Coturnix japonica: one gene and its partners. The main gene of each other region encodes a partner of the protein of the gene in region 3 in a complex. Links are inferred from orthologs where the notes say so. Each region holds a gene or a part of one and is shown on either strand. Other genes may lie near its edges.

Region 1 (5,804 bases), on a different chromosome or scaffold from region 3:
GCCCTTCCTCTTTTGCAAGGGGTTCCCATGCTGACAGGGCTTACAAGTGACAGCACCACGGCAGACGCAACCCTTTCCTGTGATACTGTTCAACATCAACCCAGAGTAACCTTTAGGACAAATGTGGGACTAAAAGGAGCACAAAGCCTCACAGATTGGGACTAGAGGATCTAGACAAACATACAAGAAGGATCCTAAACAAATCCCACTTAAAAAAACATGGCTGGAAGTAGCACTGCTTAACTAGTTTTTGTGTGCAATCGTTGTCCCTTAATAAACACTAGCAGGCTTGAAGTTCCAGAAACACAAAAGCTGTAACAAAAAACACACTGGGATTGCTAGGATTCCAGTGGTAATTTTAATGGTATGTGCTGCATTTTTCCCCCTGCAATGCTGCCAGAGGTTCCCTTGATTGATCTGCTGCAGCTGAATCGTACCTCTAGGAGCTGGTCAACAATACACAGGGGTTAGATGGATGGGCACGTCGTGTACATTTGCTAAGTGCATTTCCAGGCTCCCGATGAGAGCTCCCATGCAGATGTGTTCCCAGTAAACAGGAAAAATACTGAAATAGCAAGGCACTGCTCAAACTTGTATGTGGTCAAAACCTGCTTCTATCTCCACTGCAAGATGTTTCCGACACCTCTTCAGAGAGGCTTCCAACACAATCACGGACATGGGGAAAGCCAAGTGTTCAATCCTCTGGAGGGCCTTTATCATCCCTTTGTTGTGTCAGTAACGCTCAGTGTTGCACTTAGTAAGATTGGCTTGAGGGGTTTTAAATGAAGCCAATCAAAGATTCATTAACAGGCAATACATTAAGGGAACACAACTACCAGCCACTCGGTGCCCTTTATCGGCTCTGCAGGTCCTGAACAGGCTGTGAGTACTATAAGGTCAGGGCAGTCCTTCAGGTTTTAGTGGGATAGGCCAAAAGAGCAAAAAATGAGCAATTATAGCAACTAAAAGAATAGATTTAGACAACTTCTACATTTCTCAAGTCATGCCATGCATGTAAAATCACACCTCTCACAGGGTGATTCGGGTACAGATTTTTATTATTATTATTGTTATTTGTTTTAAGAAGGTAGGCTGATCAACTCCAAATGGGATCCCTCATTTTGTCACCTCTGTGAGCAGCCAACTCCAATAGCTCTGACATCATTAAAACACAGACACGCCTGTGGCTGCACTGGGAGAGTGCAACGTCACAATCCTAGAGGCATTTACTGATGTTAGCCCCAGTTTTCTATCGGGTAAACATGACCATTTTGCAGATGTAGACCTGAGGCACAGTGAAAACGAAAGCAAGGGATTTACAAACACATAATGCCTACAGCATTTTTCCTGTTATTGGGATCTGGAAAGAGCCAGCGTGCGCAGCAATCCAGCTGGAGAAGCTATGCAAAGCTGCAGGAAGTCCAAAGCAGACTCAGATGCCACAAGGTTACTCTTCCTGCTTATTAGAGAGCACTTCAAGTCATGAAAACATGAGGGTTTTTTCCTGATCTTCCTTCAAAGAAATGTACCCTCCCTTCAAACCCTCCATTCGCTTTTTCAGATCATCCAAGAAATATCCAACAGTGGGAATGAATGGACCACAAAGCAATACCATGAGATGTACTATATCAGCTTCCTGTAACGTAAATAGCCTAATGATGCTGTGCTCCCATTAACGTCAACTATTATAAAGTCAACTACCACATTATTCACTCCGTATTTTCAATAACGGAAGAACAGGATAAATATAACTCCATTGTTCGTAAGGAATAAAAAAAAAAGCTCATCATCTAATGAACTATCTCGCAACAGCAGCAACAACACAGACAAGAAATAGGCAACACGAGGGGCAAGCAGCCAAAATTTCAAAGGCAAATCCAGCACGGCTCTCCCAGAAGCCCATGTTCTTCAGCAGCACTCAAGGATTTCAGAACTGGGATCACTGTTTCAAAGACTCGGCTCCTCCTTCCCAACTGTGGATTTATCCTGTAAGAGAGCTGGGCCAAAGCAGCCTTTTCTGTCTGCAGAATAACAGCAAGGCCTTATACTTTGCAAAAAACATAATCTAGAAATGTCCATTTAAATTGCATCTATCAACAGCTACATATATACATATACATAGTAATACATGGATATATATAGTACTACTCCTGAGGGGAGCTGGAATGCATTTAATTGGTACTGCTGCACTTAAAAAGATCAACTAGCATACTGCTTTTTTAAGTTCACTCTTAAAATACAAATGAAGCCAGTAGCACAGAGTGCTTTCCACAGCTGAAATATAGTTTAATTCTGCATAACAAATAGTCCTCAGCTCCACCAAGTCCATTTGCCAATAAATTCACGATCTACACGCCAGAAACAGAAAATAAAGAAGAAAATTGCCACACAACAAGCTCAGAGATCACTGCACCCTGTCCAGCTGAATGGAACAGCTGGATATAGTATTCAAAATACTGTTATGCTATCGAAATTATTTAGGAACTAAAGTAAAACATTGTGCCAGCTTTCCTCTAACAGCGTTTTCAACCCACAGTACCACAGGTTTTATCTTTTGTTTTGCAGATAACAAAAGAAAACTTAGATGTACAAGTGGGCCAATTAATTCATATTAGATCCACGGTGCTGAGCCTTCCAGAATGGATAAGCAGCTGAAACTCAAATTAACCACTCCAGAACACACCACTGGATTTTTAAACAGCCTAGAACACCCCTTTCTCCCCTAAGTAGGAAGTATTTTCTTTCAGCTCCTCAACTTTCCATCTTGGCAGGCGTTTTTATACCAAAGATCTTTTAACCAACCAAACTTTCACTGCTGATAATCGCAAGAAGCCAAACCCAAGGGAGCCACTTGTGAAAGCAGAACTTGTCTTAGTTTCGTTTCAAAACCTAAAAATAGGGTTTCGCAGTGGAAGAGGCTGGGTGTTCCACTTAGGGCTTCCACTCCGTCAGCATCACTCACACCTTTCAAATCTATCATCAGTTCCTTGCTGCCAAATAACCTCTTGGGATAACCATACAGGAGGGAACCTGCTCAAAAACCTCTTTTGGTTGTTTACAAACCCCAACATGCACAGAAGGAAAATGCAAGGATGAAGCCCCTACCTCCAGTTCCGTCTCCCTCCGATTGATTACATCTGTAGATTGATTCAGCTTTTCCAGCTCCCCCTGAAAAGAAAGGAAGAAAATGTTGAATGTGTATGAAGAAATCTGAGGGAAATGTTTCTGAGAACAACCGTTCAGCATCCCCACAGAAAGCTCACAAGGGCCGTGGGCTTATATATGTAATGAAAACAGGAAAACCTGAGACACTTGGAACAACTTTGCCACTGGTCTTCTATTCTGCAACCTAAAAGAAAAATAATCAGAGCAGCTCTACAGCTTTATTTTAAGGCAGTATGTTTCCTGTTCTGGCCTATTCCTCACAAGTAAAAATAAACGTCAAGTAGAGTCATTTCTGTTCCTGTTAAAGGTAGCCAGCATCTGCTACCTGGAACAGGCACCCCCAAATATATCAGCATCACATTAGTCCTATCACAGGAGATGCAACAGAAGGAATAGACAGCCAGCTCTGTGCTCTGGATTTTGGCAAGCCGCTCTATAACACAAGCAGTCAGTGGGACAGATGACAGTGTTTCTTAAGCCTGCCTTCCAGCCAACATTTTGATCTCTAACAGCAAAAGCAAAGGTGTTAAACCCTCTGAATAAATACGTACTAGAGGCAAAACTAGAGGAGCCCTCCCCCACTCGGCGGGGACTCCTCACGGCCAGCAGAGACGAAACGCGGACCCGGACCCAAAAATACACAGGCAGCAGGTCACGGCTTGGTTAAGGGGAGAGAAAAAATCGCCTGTATAAAACGCGACGGAATCCAAAGCCTTCCGAACGGCACCGACACAAGGGAAACGGCAGCTGCCATTACAGCTCCTTCCGAACAAGAATTAAAACACTACGCCATCTCCTCCCCCACCCCGTTCCCATCCCCGCATTTCGGGGTGCCGGCCCCGCTCCGCAGCCAAGGTCACGGCCGAGAGCAGCCGGGGAGGGGTCCGCACAGCGACAAAGCGCAGCCCCGGGCCGCTCGTGAAGAGAACCGTCCGTCTCCGTACGCGGGGAGGGATCGGCCGGAGGTCCCTCACCTGGATGCGGGGATCCACCTCCTCCTCCTCGGGCCGCGGGGCCTCCTCGGCGGCACGGCCGCGCCTGCCCCCCGGCTCCATGGCGGCTCCCGCCCGCCGCTGCCCGCTCGGCTCCGGCTGCCGCTCAGCGGCCACCTCGGCGCGGCCCCGCCTCCGGGGAAACCCCTCCCTGCCCGCGGCCCCCCCGGCCCTTTGTGCCTGGAGAAGGAAAAGAGGGTAAAATTTCCCCGCTCTTTCCTTCCCCTTTATTTTTTAGCCCCTTTTTTCTTCTGTTCTTTTGTCGTTCCTCCCTGCCCCGCCGGGCACGGCAGGCCCACGCACGTCCACTGCGCGGAGCCGAGGTGAGCGATTTCAGGTGCTGGGGAAAGCCAACCACACCTCACACTGCTCCTTTTGCCTCCTTTTCTGTCTCTTCTATTCCTACAGGCTCTGCTGGTGAGCTTGCAGCAAAGAAAAGGGAAGGAAAGTAGTATTCAAGCTCGTCCAAATAGCTTAAATCCTGAGAGATGGGATGCCACACAGACTGGTTTGAGCAGTGGGCACACGTGAACCCTATGAGGTTCAACAAGTCCAAGTCTTGCACCTGGGTTGTGGCAACCCACACTATCAATGCAAGCTGGGGAATGTAAGGATGGAGCACAGCCCTCCTAGATAGTACCTGGGGGTACTGGTGGATGGGAAGTTAGACATGAGCCAACGGTGTGCCCTCACAGCCCAGAAAGTCAACTGTATCCTGGACTGAATCAAAAGAAATGTGGACAGCAGGGTAAGGAAGGTGATCTGGCCCCACTGATCTGCACTGGTGAGGCCTCACGTGGTGTACAGTGTCCATATGTGGAGTCCTCAGTACAGGAGAGACATGGACCTGTTGGAGCACATCCACAGGAGGGCCACGAAGATGAGATCGAACACCTCCCCTGCGAGGACAGGCTGAGAGAGATGGGACTGTTCAGCCTGGAGAAGAGAAGACTGTGGGGAGACCTGAGAGTGGCCATTTGGTATCTAAAGGGGCCTGTAAGAAGGCAGGGGACAGGCTCTTTAATACAGTCTGTTGTGATAGGACAAAAGGGAAATGGTTTCAAACTAAAAGAGTGGAGATTTAGATTGGATGTAAGGAAGTTTTTCACAATAAGGGTGTTGAGGCACTGGTACAGGTTGTCCAGAGAGGTGGTAGATATACCATCCCTGATGACACTCAAGGTCAGGCTGTACAGGGCTCTGAGCTCCTGATACAGCTGTAGGTAACTGCTCATTGCAGATGACCTCCAAGGGTCCCTTTCCAGCTCAATGATTCTTTGATTCTGTGTACTATGAAAGAAACTGGAAAAATCAAAACAATGTGGGAAGAAAGAAAATGGCACAAACATTTGAACAGTGTATAAACATGCAAAGTTATACCATCAATCCAAACTAATCAAGGAACAGAGGTGTTGCAAAACGCAGATGGGCTGTTCACATCTTCATTTCTCACAGCAAGAGAAACTGTGTAAAGAAAAAGAAAACATCACCACACAAAAGTGGTTTGTTCCTGTTGATTGCCATTAAGGGAATTCAATGTGTGCAAACAATACAGAGCTCCAGAGTCTCCAGGTCTCTCATGTGGCTCATGTGTTTCAACATCCAAAGCTCTGGTCATCCTAAAAACCACAAAGCAGCTTCTGGAAG
Region 2 (5,803 bases), on a different chromosome or scaffold from region 3:
TTTACTGCACAATCAACTCTGACTGTATATAGTTATTAACTCTTAGTAACCTTTAGTGTAGATCTCATCATAGTACGTAACTGCTTTCAACATTAGGGTTTTAAGATCTCACTTTAAAGCACCTGTAAAAGAAAAGTGAAGCGTAAAAGGGCAAGGGCAAAAATTTTCTTTGATTCACAAGTTCTACTTGAGGCGTGTAACTTCTTCATCTCTTTGTTTGCATTTAAAATCAAGTGGACTGAAGACTGAGCATACCTGCACGTTAAAGAATGACGTTCTCTTAACAGGTACTTGAAGAGCAGAATTTAATTTAACAAAAATTTTAGTAGAGCTGCTTCTTTACATTAAAAAATAAATTAAAAAATAGCTGGTTTTGTTTTCCAAACTTAACCACTCCAAAATTAAAAGAGCTGGCTCTCATGCAACCAAGCAAGTCAATGTGAAACAAAACAAACCAAGGGTACCTCTTATATTTTCAATACTTGATAGCAGCACTGAATTGCATACACTTTAATCATTTCCTGTATTTAATACTAAGTCCTACAGTTCACTACAGGGGCAATCAGACTTGCAAATTCCGCTTTCAGGAGAAACCAGAAGTTTGTGTGTGCAATTTAGCAGTTAGTAAAACAGTAAAATAAAGTCAACATTTGGATTTTAGAATACAAGCCATCACTTCACTTACCTAGAAGGACTGGAACAACTTCTTATTTTTTCTTTTCAGTTTCCTGTATGCAAAAACAAAGAAAAGTGAAGCAGAAGTGGTGTAATTAATATTCACTATTACAGACCGCTTTCAGAAGTGTTCTGACTGCATTTCTGTCATGTCACCACAGAATTTAACATTCCTAAAGAACTGAAAGTGAAAAATGAACAGACTGAAGGAGGAAAAATATGGAAAAATATAAACGTTCCTCCTTAAAAAAGATGTAGAATCACTAGCAAGTAGATTCTGGAAGATAACTATAGGCTGTTTAAAGGATGCAAACCTCAAGAACTGGTCAATAGGAAAACAGGAGCTTCTTCTTCAAAACTGTCACTCTACTGCTTAGAAGAGCAGTTGTTCCACTTCCTCGAAGTCACGCGGTCTCTCTCAGTGTTCTGGGGAGGCAGAAGGCAATGCCTGTTGCATCAAGCTTTCTTCTTTCAAAAGCAGGCCTAATGTTGATGCTGTCAGTGACCTGTCTGTAACTGACGTCTAAGTCAAATAGAGGAAGGTACGGAACTCAATTCAAATAACTAAGAGGGATCTCATCTGGATAAGAGGAAAAATGTGTGAGAAGTGAAGACGATTGACTTAACAATTTCAAATGAGAACAAGAAATCTACTGGCCAGATAGTCACGTGCACAGAAACAAACCAATGAAGTCACTTTGGTTCTGCAGTAGGAGCAAGCTTTTCACATAAGAAGGGACAATTCTGGTAAACCAGGAGCACTGATGGAATAAAAGAAATGTTCCTAGACCCAACAGTTCCAGCTGACTGAATCTGACAGCTCGAATGTCAGCTCCCTGGCTTGGATATTTCTCAGAGGGGCTTGGATTAGTGGAAGCTTATGCAGTGTGAATGCAGCTCTTACAGCAGACAAGTAGAAAGCCAGGGAATCTCAGAGAGCAAATACACAGGATTTCATATTCCTGAGATCTCTCTGTGACTTGTTTAGCAAGATATTAGCTTTTACGCCTTCACCAGCTCAATTACCTAAGTTTGAAAGTTTTATTACTGTCCATCAACCTCAGAGACATTGTAAATCTAGTCTTCTGCAACTTTATTTTCAGCAAATTAAAAATATCTTAAAATTAAAATTAAAAATATCTTAACAAAGGTACTTCATTTTTACAGATCGCATCCTTTGAGTACGTAACTCCATACAATAACCAAGGGTTTGATTTAAAATTCTTAAATATACCAAGGAGTGTGCTACTGAAGCACTCTCAAAGCTCATTAAAACAGAGTGATGTATTTTTTTCCTATAAGCAACAAGGTAAATGGCCACTGGCATTTACCCAGAAATAGAAACACACTGTATTGTTCCCACTAACTTACAAAAGAAAAACTCCAGTCTGAAGTAGAGCTAATAGGAAAGTTCTGAGGTTGAGCTCCTGCTAAGCAGCTACTGACACAAAAATCAATCAGATACAGTATGGCACCAACTTGAAACAAAAATATGAGCATAGTTAAAAAGTATCGACTCATATTTCTACCCCCAGATATATTCAGTGTCTCAGAGTGTACCCTATTGATTTGAAACAAATATACTTAAGTTATGCAGGAGGATACGATAACTTGAAGTCTATTCATTATTACAGAGAGAAGTTAATGCAGCTGAATCATGTTTACTCCTCTAAAACCAGTCTTAAAAAAAAGTTTAACAACAGTTAAATAAAACAGTAAAAGAGGCTTTTAAAAAATTTTAAAAGATAAATGGTGGGGGGAAGAGAAAGAATAGCTGATGAAAGGCATTTTAGGCAGAAGATGGACCCTAATTAATAAGATTAAAAGAACACCATATTTCAGGCTGCTCAATGCTGTCACAGAACCACTAGAGAAGTAGCATGAAAACAAAAATTATTCATAAAGTTATGCAAGATTAACTCAGGACCTGAAAGAACCTTATGTTACACACTGCACAGCTAAGAATCTTCTAGAAAAAGATGTACCAAAAATGTCTGTATTTCTAGAATTGAAGTCAGGATGGAAACATGACTATACAATGAGAAAGATCAAAGACCCAACCAGCTGACTGGGTGTAGGCATGTGCTATCAAGTGTAAAACAAACACACCACCAAGTTCTTTTGTAAGCAGCTTCACCCCATGTTTTTTTGGATGCACTACAAAAAGCAGTTTACGACATTTGTTTTTTTCAATAAGGCTTCAATAAGGGCTTAAAAGAGAACCCAAGTGACTGCCACACTTCACCAGTTCATGCCTCTGAAGTGATGTCTGTAACCAGACTTCCATTAACATCAGCAACTGATGTTTCATTAGCCAACTGAAGACACGTCTACCACAGTGGAAACCAAGGACCATAAAGTTTTTGTAATCCTATAAATCAAAGTTGAACAGAGCATCTAATGCAGGCACAGCAGTCACACAGTGTTAACTTCAGGCACACCTGCTTTTCTCCTTTTTTTCTTTGTAATCAGCTCTATGTGCCTTTACACTCAGCAAGAGCTTGAGAAGAGATTCCCAGCTCTGAGTACAGTGTGACAAGATGACGACAAACACATTCTAAAAGGCAGGAGAGAAAACTGCAGGAGAAAATTCACTTTGCATTAGCTGTTTGCAAAGCAGCGGATGACTCACAATTTCCAGCTGTAGTAGCCTTATATCCTACTATGAAGCAGGTGACTGCATCTTTATTTGAAGGGAAAGGTCATTTCTGGAAGAAACTAGCAAGGAAAAGCAAACAAGTGACATAGGAATGGGTGAGACATAGAAACGCACTGATGGAACCCCCTCCAAACAGAGGGGTGTAGGAAGGCTGCAGCACGAACAAAGCTGCAGCAGCACAACAGCACCTGTACCTCAAACCCACAATCACACAGCACCGAGGGCATGAAATATCCGTGCCTGAAACACCGTGCAATCATCAGCGCCTGAAGGCCCGCGCTGCGCTGCTTGCTTTTAATCCTCTGACAGCTTCGGAGATGTTTCATTAGCACAACCCTGAAGGCACAGGCCGCGGCCCTGCCTGCACAAGAGGCGCTCGCTTCCTCCTCCTCCCCCCCCATACCGCTAAGCCCGAGCGCTGGGCGCAGCCCGAGGGCCTCCGGAGCCACGGATGGACGCGGAGAGGCCTCCTTGGGGCCGGGGCTCAGGCCGAGCCCGGGGCAGCCACCGGAGGCGAGAGAAAAGCCGACGCATCCTCCGCCCCGCCGCCCCCATCCGATCGGCCCGTACCTGCGGCGGCTCCGGCGTCCTCCTGCCCGGCTCTAGGGGCGGCGGGAGCCGCAGGCCGCGGTGGGGGAGGGGGCTGCGGCGGCGCGGAGCCGCGGCGCCATATTACCGCCTCCCGGGAACCCCCGCCTACCCCTCGGCGGGGCCGCTCCCTCCCCTCCGCCCTCGGGGCGCTCCCCGCGGCCCGGAGCCGGGCGCAGCGCGGAGGGCGGAGCCGGCACCTGGCCCGGCAGAGCCGCGCTCCTGTTTACAAACTCACCCGGGAACGCGGGCCGCGCCAAACACGAACGGCCGGGTCCCCCACAGGCTTCCGTCACATCTCGCGAGAACAACGCCGACATCTCCGCGGGACCGGTGGAACGCAGGTCACGTGGCGCAGGGGGGCGGGGACGGCGCCCATTGGGCGATGCCGGCGGGGCGGCTGCGGCTCGTCGTGAGGACGGGAGAGGCCGGGCCGGGTGTGGGGGCGGTACAACACGGGATGGATGATCCGGGCTACGTCCGACGGGACACGGCACGGACACGAATCTTTGGTCCAGCACGGAGCAGGAACAGAGACAGGGAGTCTGTGCGCCCCGGGATCATTCAGGTGTGAACACCCACCTATCATTCAATGTTTCAAAACCCACTTATCAATCATCATTCACCTTATTGTCAATGAGGACATTATTGCCAATGAGGTAGCGAACTCCCTGCGTGCAGGTTTGTTTCTGTGCTTTAGAAGCCCGTGATGTGTCCAACAGTGAGATCCAATTCATCCATACGTGGCATTACTTAACAGCAATTCTGGACTGCGTTCAGCAGTTCTTGAAAAGATGGCTATTTCCATTGAAGAACATACAGAGCAAGTAGCTTCATGCTACGTTCGAGTTAAGCTGAATGAATACCCACGTAGTATTGAAACTCAAAGCGAAGAGTTTACCTGCAGATCACACACATCAGAGCCACCAACCAGTTTCTTCACATACCCGAGGACGGGCTACTTACAGCTCATAGCTCCCTGGATTTAATTCCGTAACAGCAGGAAAGCAAAGCTCATAAACCTGTTTGCTTTCTTCCAAAGGTCAGTTTGTCGTTGTTGAATGATTAGATCTATTATTTAATATTCAAAGCCACCCAACCAATTAGTGCACAGCATTACACAGTACATTGCTGTAAGCGCAGACAGCACCTTAAATGTATTAAGGTTGTTAAAAGATAGAAACCATGAGATGCAAAGCTTGAAGTGCAGCATTTTGTCACTCTTGGATCCTACTGTTTTCCAAACATCAGGTTAATGACAAATCTTTACTATATCAAAAAGCTGGACATTCTCCCATGCCAAGAACACTGTAATTAAGTAAGAGTATAATGTCTATGTGCCATTGGCTTCGGACCAATCTCAACCAGTAGTTAAGTTCAACCTGGAGAACCAAGCAGAAAACTTCTACTAGGATGATCAAAATTAGTAGTGGGACTGATGCAAACAGCTTCCTTATCACTGCTGGAGAATTGTTAAGCTTATTGTACCGTGAGATGCCAAAACTCTGTGTGCCAGCTAATCTAGTGGGGAGGACAACACAAAACTGTGCAGAGAAACAGCTCTGGATAAATGTGAAATAGGTAAAGGAACAAGGCCAGAAGTACAACTTCTCACACTTGGTCAGTGCATCCTTTGATTTTCCTAGGATTAATCATACTGATTTTATCAAGCAAGTGACACTGCCACAAATATTATATGCTTGACTTGAAGTTATTGTTTAAAGGGTCCTACATATACGTCATTACCACAAAATAAAGTCATAACTTTATAAGAAAGATAAAAAATGCAAGGAACAGGATGACAGTTAAAGTTGTTTATCTTTAATGAAATGACTTTGGAAATAGCATCAATTTCCATGACACCAACATTTTGGGAGTCCC
Region 3 (6,460 bases):
TATTCTCTCTTACTCCTGCTCCCCAAAGCTACCTGTTCAGACAGCCACACTTCTGCCCATGATGGAAGATTTTCTTAGGGAGCTGGTAGATCGTCAGTGCTAACCTTGGTGTTTCAAAGGAGGGACTTCCTCTACAAGCGCCAGTGAAAAGGCCCACGTGTGGGACCTGTGATTTCATTGTGCTAAGACGCAGCATCAGCTGTTGGTGAACAAAAGCTGCTCTCCGATGAATTGGAAAAGGCATCAGTGTTACTAATTGACTCAGTGCAATGAATTCCCATATTTGAGTCTTGAGGTAGTTGGGTACCTTCTGTTTGATGGAAGGCTAGGGAAGAACAGAAGTTGAGATCCCAGTATCTCAGAGTAAACACCACTGTACAAAGGATTATTGGGATTGTTTCCTCTTCCTCCATAGTGGAGGACGCAGCTGTTGTGTTACATGGTGGACTGGGAATGGATTGTTCCCAAGGGCTTGCAAAGGCGTTGCAGATTTTAAGTTGGTACTTTTGTATCTCCTGCCTTGCCTGAGAAAGAAAAATTCAGAAAAAGTGAACAAACAGAGCAGAAGGTGAAGATTGGATGTAAGCAAGGTGTTTTTTGCACAAAGGGTGGTGACACAATGGCACACTTGACCAGAAAGGTGGTGGATGCCCTGTCCTTGGAGATGCTCAAGGTCAGGTTGGATGGGGCTCTGAGCAACCTGATCTAATTGCAGATGTTCCTGTTTATTACAGACGAGTTGAGCTAGATGACCTTTAAGGGTCCCTTCCAACTCAAGCGATTCTATGGTTCTGTGACTGTCCTTTTTAAAGACGTTGGGTGATGAATTAGTGTGAATTAGCTCAGACATTTGTCTGCTGAGATGTTTTCAATGAATGTCCTTGAATGATGGATGCAGAACAGTTCGTTATTGAAAGATCTTGTTTTTAAACTCCTTGGACTTTGTGTTTCCATGAAGTATAATGCTTTATGAATGGAATAAGGATATTTTTGTCTTTGTTTTTATGGTGTCCCATTGTGATCAACCCAAAAGAGAGCAAAAGCCACAAATCCACTATAATGTCTCACATTTCTTACTATCGCTGTTAATCAACTGTTCCTCTTTGGGTACATATTGGTGTGCTCCTGATGTAGGAGTAGTATAACTGGGAACTACAGAGTGGAGAAGGAGAAGACATTTCAAGATGGACATTGCCAACTTTTTTTTAGTATGCTTGTAAATTTTTGTTGGCTTTGTAACTCAGCTTCCAATACTGCTGTGCTTTCTGCTCTGTACGCAGTCAGTAGGGTAACGTGAGTGAAAATCTACAATACACAGGGATTCATAGGAAAAAAATATGGGATTTTGAAGAGTTGCTCTGGTGCTTCATGTTGTCATTGCTGGAACATCAAGAAGTGATTTGGTGGAGTTACCCTGTAGGAAATACACTCCTGTTTTTCTTGCTGTAGCAAAAGCCTGTAGCAAACCTTTCCACATTGATGGAAAAGAGAGTAATCAGGAATGGGGCCTGAGGACTGATTTAGTCTGAGAGTATTTCTAATATGCATTTATGAAATGCAGAAGCTGGAATTTGTGTCATCATATTTGAGCGACCAAAATAAGTGGTTCAAACTCCTAAGAGGTGAAAATTATCAAAATATGTGAAAGTTGTGCAAAATGTTTTAAAACTAAAAAGGAGAATTTGAGAAGCCCATATTTAAGACCACTTTGCAAACCCGAGTCTGTATTTCTTCATGCATTCAATTTTTTAAACTAAGCATACATAACAATTTGTTTTCCTTATGAAAAGGAAACGAGAAAGAAATTTTGAGAAATAGTCCTGCTTCCAGGCATGTAATTGGACCTGGATGATATGGTCTAAAGGAATGATTAAATAATTTGATTCCATTAGAAAATGTGATAAGGAAAAGGCTAAATTAATTCTAATTGAAAGTGGGGAATTGTTCATTGAGATACTTGGTGAACGTGTCCTTAATCATGATAGGAATTGCAGAAGCCTCTCTGTTGTACCTGCTACACCAAGCTGCTTTGTGAAACTATTCGTCTCCACCAGTTCTCATTGTGCTTTTATTTAATCTTTTATTTCTACCCCTTGAAAATAAGTGTTAGATTCCTATGAAACTGGATGTCAGAAGTAGTGGTGCATGCTCTTCCCTGCTGATGTGGTACGTGGTTCCTTTCACTTGCTTCTTTCTTCTCACTAGACAATCTCTCCTTGTCCCAGCATTTTTCTCAAGGAGAGGAAAAAATGGAAATAGCAGTCTTGAGGCTCAGGAATTTGCCATAGGAAAAGAAGGAGCTCCTCTAACATGTATGTCCCCTGTGTTTGTCATGATTGCAGCGCTGCATACGATGCCATCCTTGAGCGAAACGTTGCAATCAAGAAACTAAGCCGACCATTTCAGAATCAAACCCACGCCAAACGTGCTTACAGAGAGCTGGTCCTCATGAAGTGTGTGAATCACAAAAATGTAAGTCTTATGCATGGAGTCAGACTGCTGTTTTGGTTTGATCAGAAGAAAACTCTTCTTTTGGGGGTCTTTTTTAATTTAAAAATCGGAAAAAGAGAGAGAGAGAGAGATTTGAAAAGTAAACTGATCAAGGGCTGCTTTTTCTCTGATGATGTGTGGCCACATAGGTGAATGGGTTTCTTTCATGTACATCTGTGAAGGCTGTGCCAAATGGGAGCCCTGATAGGATAGCAGGGATGATGGAAGGAGAGAGAGCAGAGCATGTTTTTCTCTACTGTTTCTCTGTAAATAGGGAAGTGGTGGTTTTGTGGAGGCATTTTATTCTAAATATTACTGACTTCTTCCTGAGCCATAAAGTGTTGGTATTAATTGAGCAGTGAAAAATAGAGTTTATCTTTCAATGCATGCTTCAGAATGAGTTTGACTGCTTCGCCTTTATCGCTTCTATTCCTCCTTTTGTTTTGCTCTGTTTTTCAGATTATCAGTTTATTAAATGTCTTCACACCACAGAAATCTCTAGAAGAGTTCCAGGATGTGTAAGTAATACAGGAAATAATTAAACCAAAGCTTTTGAGATGGTGTTTTAGTGTACCGTTAATGCAATAACTCAGCAGAACACAGAGGTGATGAGCCACCCTGAAAAATGTCCATGTGTAGTCTGCACTGTGATCAGACAGCTATGTGCATGCCTGTGTTCAAAGCATCTATAAGGTGCCAATACTGGGTTTCTGAAGTGCTGCAAGTGTGCAGCAATTTGCTCTGAAGTAATTTCCTGTAAGAGTGACAGAAACATCCTTTATGTTTGCTCTGTAATAACCTGGCTGTCTTTAATTGCTTGCCTGGTTGACTCATACTCAATGCAGAGGACAACTGCATCTCTGCTGGGCATTGTACAGATGCACAAGCACTGCTGTGCAGATTATGGAGCTGCACCAAATGGAACTACAAATAGTGTTGTGTAGTAATATTCCTTTTAGCTTTCAGTCCTCCCCATATCTTGTAAGTGTGGTATTGAAATGTATTCCTCTTCTGTAATTGGATATCAGCTGGTGATAAGAGACAAATAGTTGTTGGAGTTGGGTGAGGATGGTTTTAGTATTAACATATGAATATTATGCATCATATTGTTCCTGCAGACATATGTAGAGCACAGGAAGTAACCAGTGCTGGAGAGAAGATGAAGCATGCATCTCACATAGAAACTGAAAACCGATTTCTCACCAAAATTTGCTGTTGTGTTACAATTAGGATGTAATTAAGTGGTACACGGAAGTTGAGCAATTTGTGATCACATAAGCTGAGCTTCTGAGATGTCTGCTAAGAAATGTGCCAATGTGTTCAACCTATTAACTTCCTTGCGAAGGGGACTGAGTGCAGGTTTTGCTGAGGTTGTCAGTGAAGCTTATTTACCAGAAGCTCAGGACCAATTATTGAGTTAGGCTGTGCAGTCTTAGGACTGGAGCCATTTCATGTGCAGACACATTTTGGAGCTGCTTAGACTTCACTCAGGTTCCTGCATGTGCTGTGGGAGCCATTACTGAAGGCCAAGTGGCTGTGGCATGGGACACTTGTGACTTTTCTGACATTGTTAGTTGCTGGAGGCAATGCTCAACACAGCTGATAACCTTCCTGGCTTTGCTGTTCCATTTAGTTATCTGGTGATGGAGCTGATGGATGCCAACCTGTGCCAGGTGATTCAGATGGAGCTAGACCATGAGCGAATGTCCTACCTGCTGTATCAAATGCTCTGTGGCATCAAGCACCTGCACTCTGCGGGAATTATTCACAGGGTAAGGAAACTCCAGTTTGGAACTCAGAGTGGCAAATGCCATCCTTGTGGAAACCAGTTGAGTTTCTTGTGTGCTGCGGATCTAAGCCCTACCTCCAGAAAAATCACAGTGCATTTACTAATCACAGCCCATTCCATTCACTGAGTTGCCTCATGTTTGTTTTAGAACTGTTCTTAGGTAATGTGCTTATTAAAAATAATGATAATAATCACCAATATGCACTGGAAATCACCAAAGTGATTATGATCTCTGAAATGTCTACAGAAATGTTATTGCTCCTTAAAACACTGCTACGAGTGTGGGAGGTAACACTGTGATCCCTAACAACAGAAGAAAACAGTTTGTGTGACTGTGAGCATGTGAGGCAGTGCTGAATGGATTAAAAACACCCCTATTCTTTGTTACAGTGGTCTTGTACTAATTTTGTATTTTTAGCTGAAATATATATATACATGCATATGTCCTTTCTTTATGAAATTGTTCACAAGAGGGATGTTGCCTTACAGTAAGCAAAGGCTTTATTTCTTGCTGTGTTGTATGTACATAGGAGGATGTGGATCTGGTTTCAAGATAATTTCTGAGAAAGGATGAGTTGATTTCTTATTAAAACAAATGAAGCAGTAAACCATCTCCACGTAAGACAGTTGGAATATCTCTGTGAGGCTGACAGCATTAAAAAAAATCCCACAAAATAGTACTTTAATACTCATCTGAACTTCTCAAACAGCCCAATGAAATTATTTCACACCAGTAAGCTCCCACCATCTGAGTACAGCCCCAGGGTACACCCAGTGGGCAACACTTTTTGCAAGATATTGCAGAGAAACAGGTGCAAAGTTTTTGCCAGTGATTTCTGATTGAAACCATCAGTGAAGGAGTGCAAGAGTATTTGAATGTGCCTTGAAAAATTAATGTCCATCACTGCCGTGGCTATGGCTTTGTGCACTCCTTTCACTCTTTTGCAATCTTTTGCAGGATTTGAAACCAAGTAACATTGTGGTAAAATCTGACTGCACGCTGAAGATTTTGGATTTTGGGCTGGCCAGAACTGCAGGCACCAGCTTCATGATGACGCCTTATGTAGTGACTCGTTACTACAGAGCACCAGAGGTCATCCTGGGAATGGGCTACAAGGAGAACGGTAGGGCTGCATGTCGGAGCACACAGGTGTGAGGTGGATCTGTGGCTGTAGGGGCATCAGGAGGAGAAACAGAAAATGTATCAGGAAAAGACATCATGAATATAAAAGGCAGGTGATGGGGAGGAGGTTCTCATTCTTGGGTGCTGCAGGCACCTACTCTTGTTGGGGTGTTAATAGGGGATGAAGTTATCAGTGTGGTATTGCAGAATAATGGGAGATCGTTCTTAGTTATTAGTGAGCAAATCAAACTCAGACTAAGAAGGGAAGGAAGGGATAAAGCACGCAGTGGAGAAAAGTGCACGGTCTCAGGTTCTGTCCTCAGGAGCTGCCACTCGTCTTTTTGACAAAGAGATTAATCAATGACAGAGGTCATTAATTCTTTGTAATGGTTGTGAGTTCACAGTGCAGATTTTAATGGGAAAATCAAGAAAGTAGGCAGTTACTGAGTAGATTCTAACAGTGCAGAATAATATTTATTGAGAGCAATGTTTCTTGAAGGACTTTGATGTGTGTTGTTATCGACTTGACCTGAGCTCGGCATCTTTTACAGCTCCTTACGCCAAATACCCACTTGTTTTTTCTTTCAAAACATGTAGTAAATAAATCTTCATTGTTATAATTGTCCCTGAGAGGACAGAAAATGCACTCAGTTCTCAAATAAGAAAATCTTAGGGACACTTTAGTGATGAAGTGTACAGCTGGGAAAGTTCCAAGAGTTGTTGCCATATCTCCCAGGGAAGGAACAGAAGGGCTGCTCTTTGCTCCCTGCTCCTGTGCTGCCACATTACTGAAGCTCCCCTCCTTTTTTCCCCTTACTATGCCCATTGCCTGTGTAAGGACTATTCACTGCTTTCATTTTCTTTCTGCACTGGGTTGGCTAAAGATATACCATTAACACTGGTTTGCTGTGCTTCCCGGGGAAGCTCCCAAAGCCATCACTGTGAAGAAAACTGCTGCAGCCTCAGGCATGCTCCTGCTGTCCTGTGCCCCATACCCTGTACCCTCCTTGTCCCAGATGGAACGTTTCACCTTGATTTTATTTGACCAAGAAATGAGT

What was found.
Region 1: the proteins of MAPK10 (region 3) and SH3BP5 are in contact, whole or in part, in a crystal structure (PDB 4H3B), measured with the Homo sapiens proteins. The link is inferred for Coturnix japonica from reciprocal best matches to the Homo sapiens genes MAPK10 and SH3BP5. Residues at the interface, in NP_620448.1 of Homo sapiens: Lys121, Asp150, Ala151, Gln155, Val156, Met159, Leu161, Glu164, Arg165, Tyr168, Tyr171, Val197, Lys198, Ser199, Asp200, Cys201, Trp362, Asp364, Glu367; in NP_004835.2 of Homo sapiens: Val341, Val342, Arg343, Pro344, Gly345, Ser346, Leu347, Asp348, Leu349, Pro350.
Region 2: the proteins of MAPK10 (region 3) and ATF2 are in contact, whole or in part, in a crystal structure (PDB 4H36), measured with the Homo sapiens proteins. The link is inferred for Coturnix japonica from reciprocal best matches to the Homo sapiens genes MAPK10 and ATF2. Residues at the interface, in NP_620448.1 of Homo sapiens: Asp150, Ala151, Gln155, Met159, Glu164, Arg165, Tyr168, Val197, Lys198, Ser199, Asp200, Cys201, Trp362, Glu367; in NP_001243019.1 of Homo sapiens: Lys48, His49, Met51, Thr52, Leu53, Lys54, Phe55.

The regions. Positions count from the first base shown.
Region 1 is NC_029517.1:38,153,588-38,159,391, reverse strand, and holds the start of SH3BP5 (SH3 domain-binding protein 5), read right to left. Parts: upstream 4,275-5,804; 5' UTR 4,221-4,274; coding exon 4,140-4,220; intron 3,169-4,139; coding exon 3,106-3,168; intron 1-3,105. UniProt on the Homo sapiens protein: Functions as a guanine nucleotide exchange factor (GEF) with specificity for RAB11A and RAB25. Inhibits the auto- and transphosphorylation activity of BTK. Plays a negative regulatory role in BTK-related cytoplasmic signaling in B-cells.
Region 2 is NC_029522.1:14,845,652-14,851,454, reverse strand, and holds the start of ATF2 (cyclic AMP-dependent transcription factor ATF-2), read right to left. Parts: upstream 4,275-5,803; 5' UTR 4,161-4,274; intron 4,020-4,160; exon of another isoform or gene 3,905-4,019; intron 1,102-3,904; exon of another isoform or gene 990-1,101; intron 729-989; 5' UTR 686-728; intron 1-685. UniProt on the Homo sapiens protein: Transcriptional activator which regulates the transcription of various genes, including those involved in anti-apoptosis, cell growth, and DNA damage response.
Region 3 is NC_029519.1:40,899,777-40,906,236, reverse strand, and holds part of MAPK10 (mitogen-activated protein kinase 10), read left to right. Parts: intron 1-2,342; coding exon 2,343-2,472; intron 2,473-2,949; coding exon 2,950-3,008; intron 3,009-4,123; coding exon 4,124-4,262; intron 4,263-5,237; coding exon 5,238-5,403; intron 5,404-6,460. UniProt on the Homo sapiens protein: Serine/threonine-protein kinase involved in various processes such as neuronal proliferation, differentiation, migration and programmed cell death.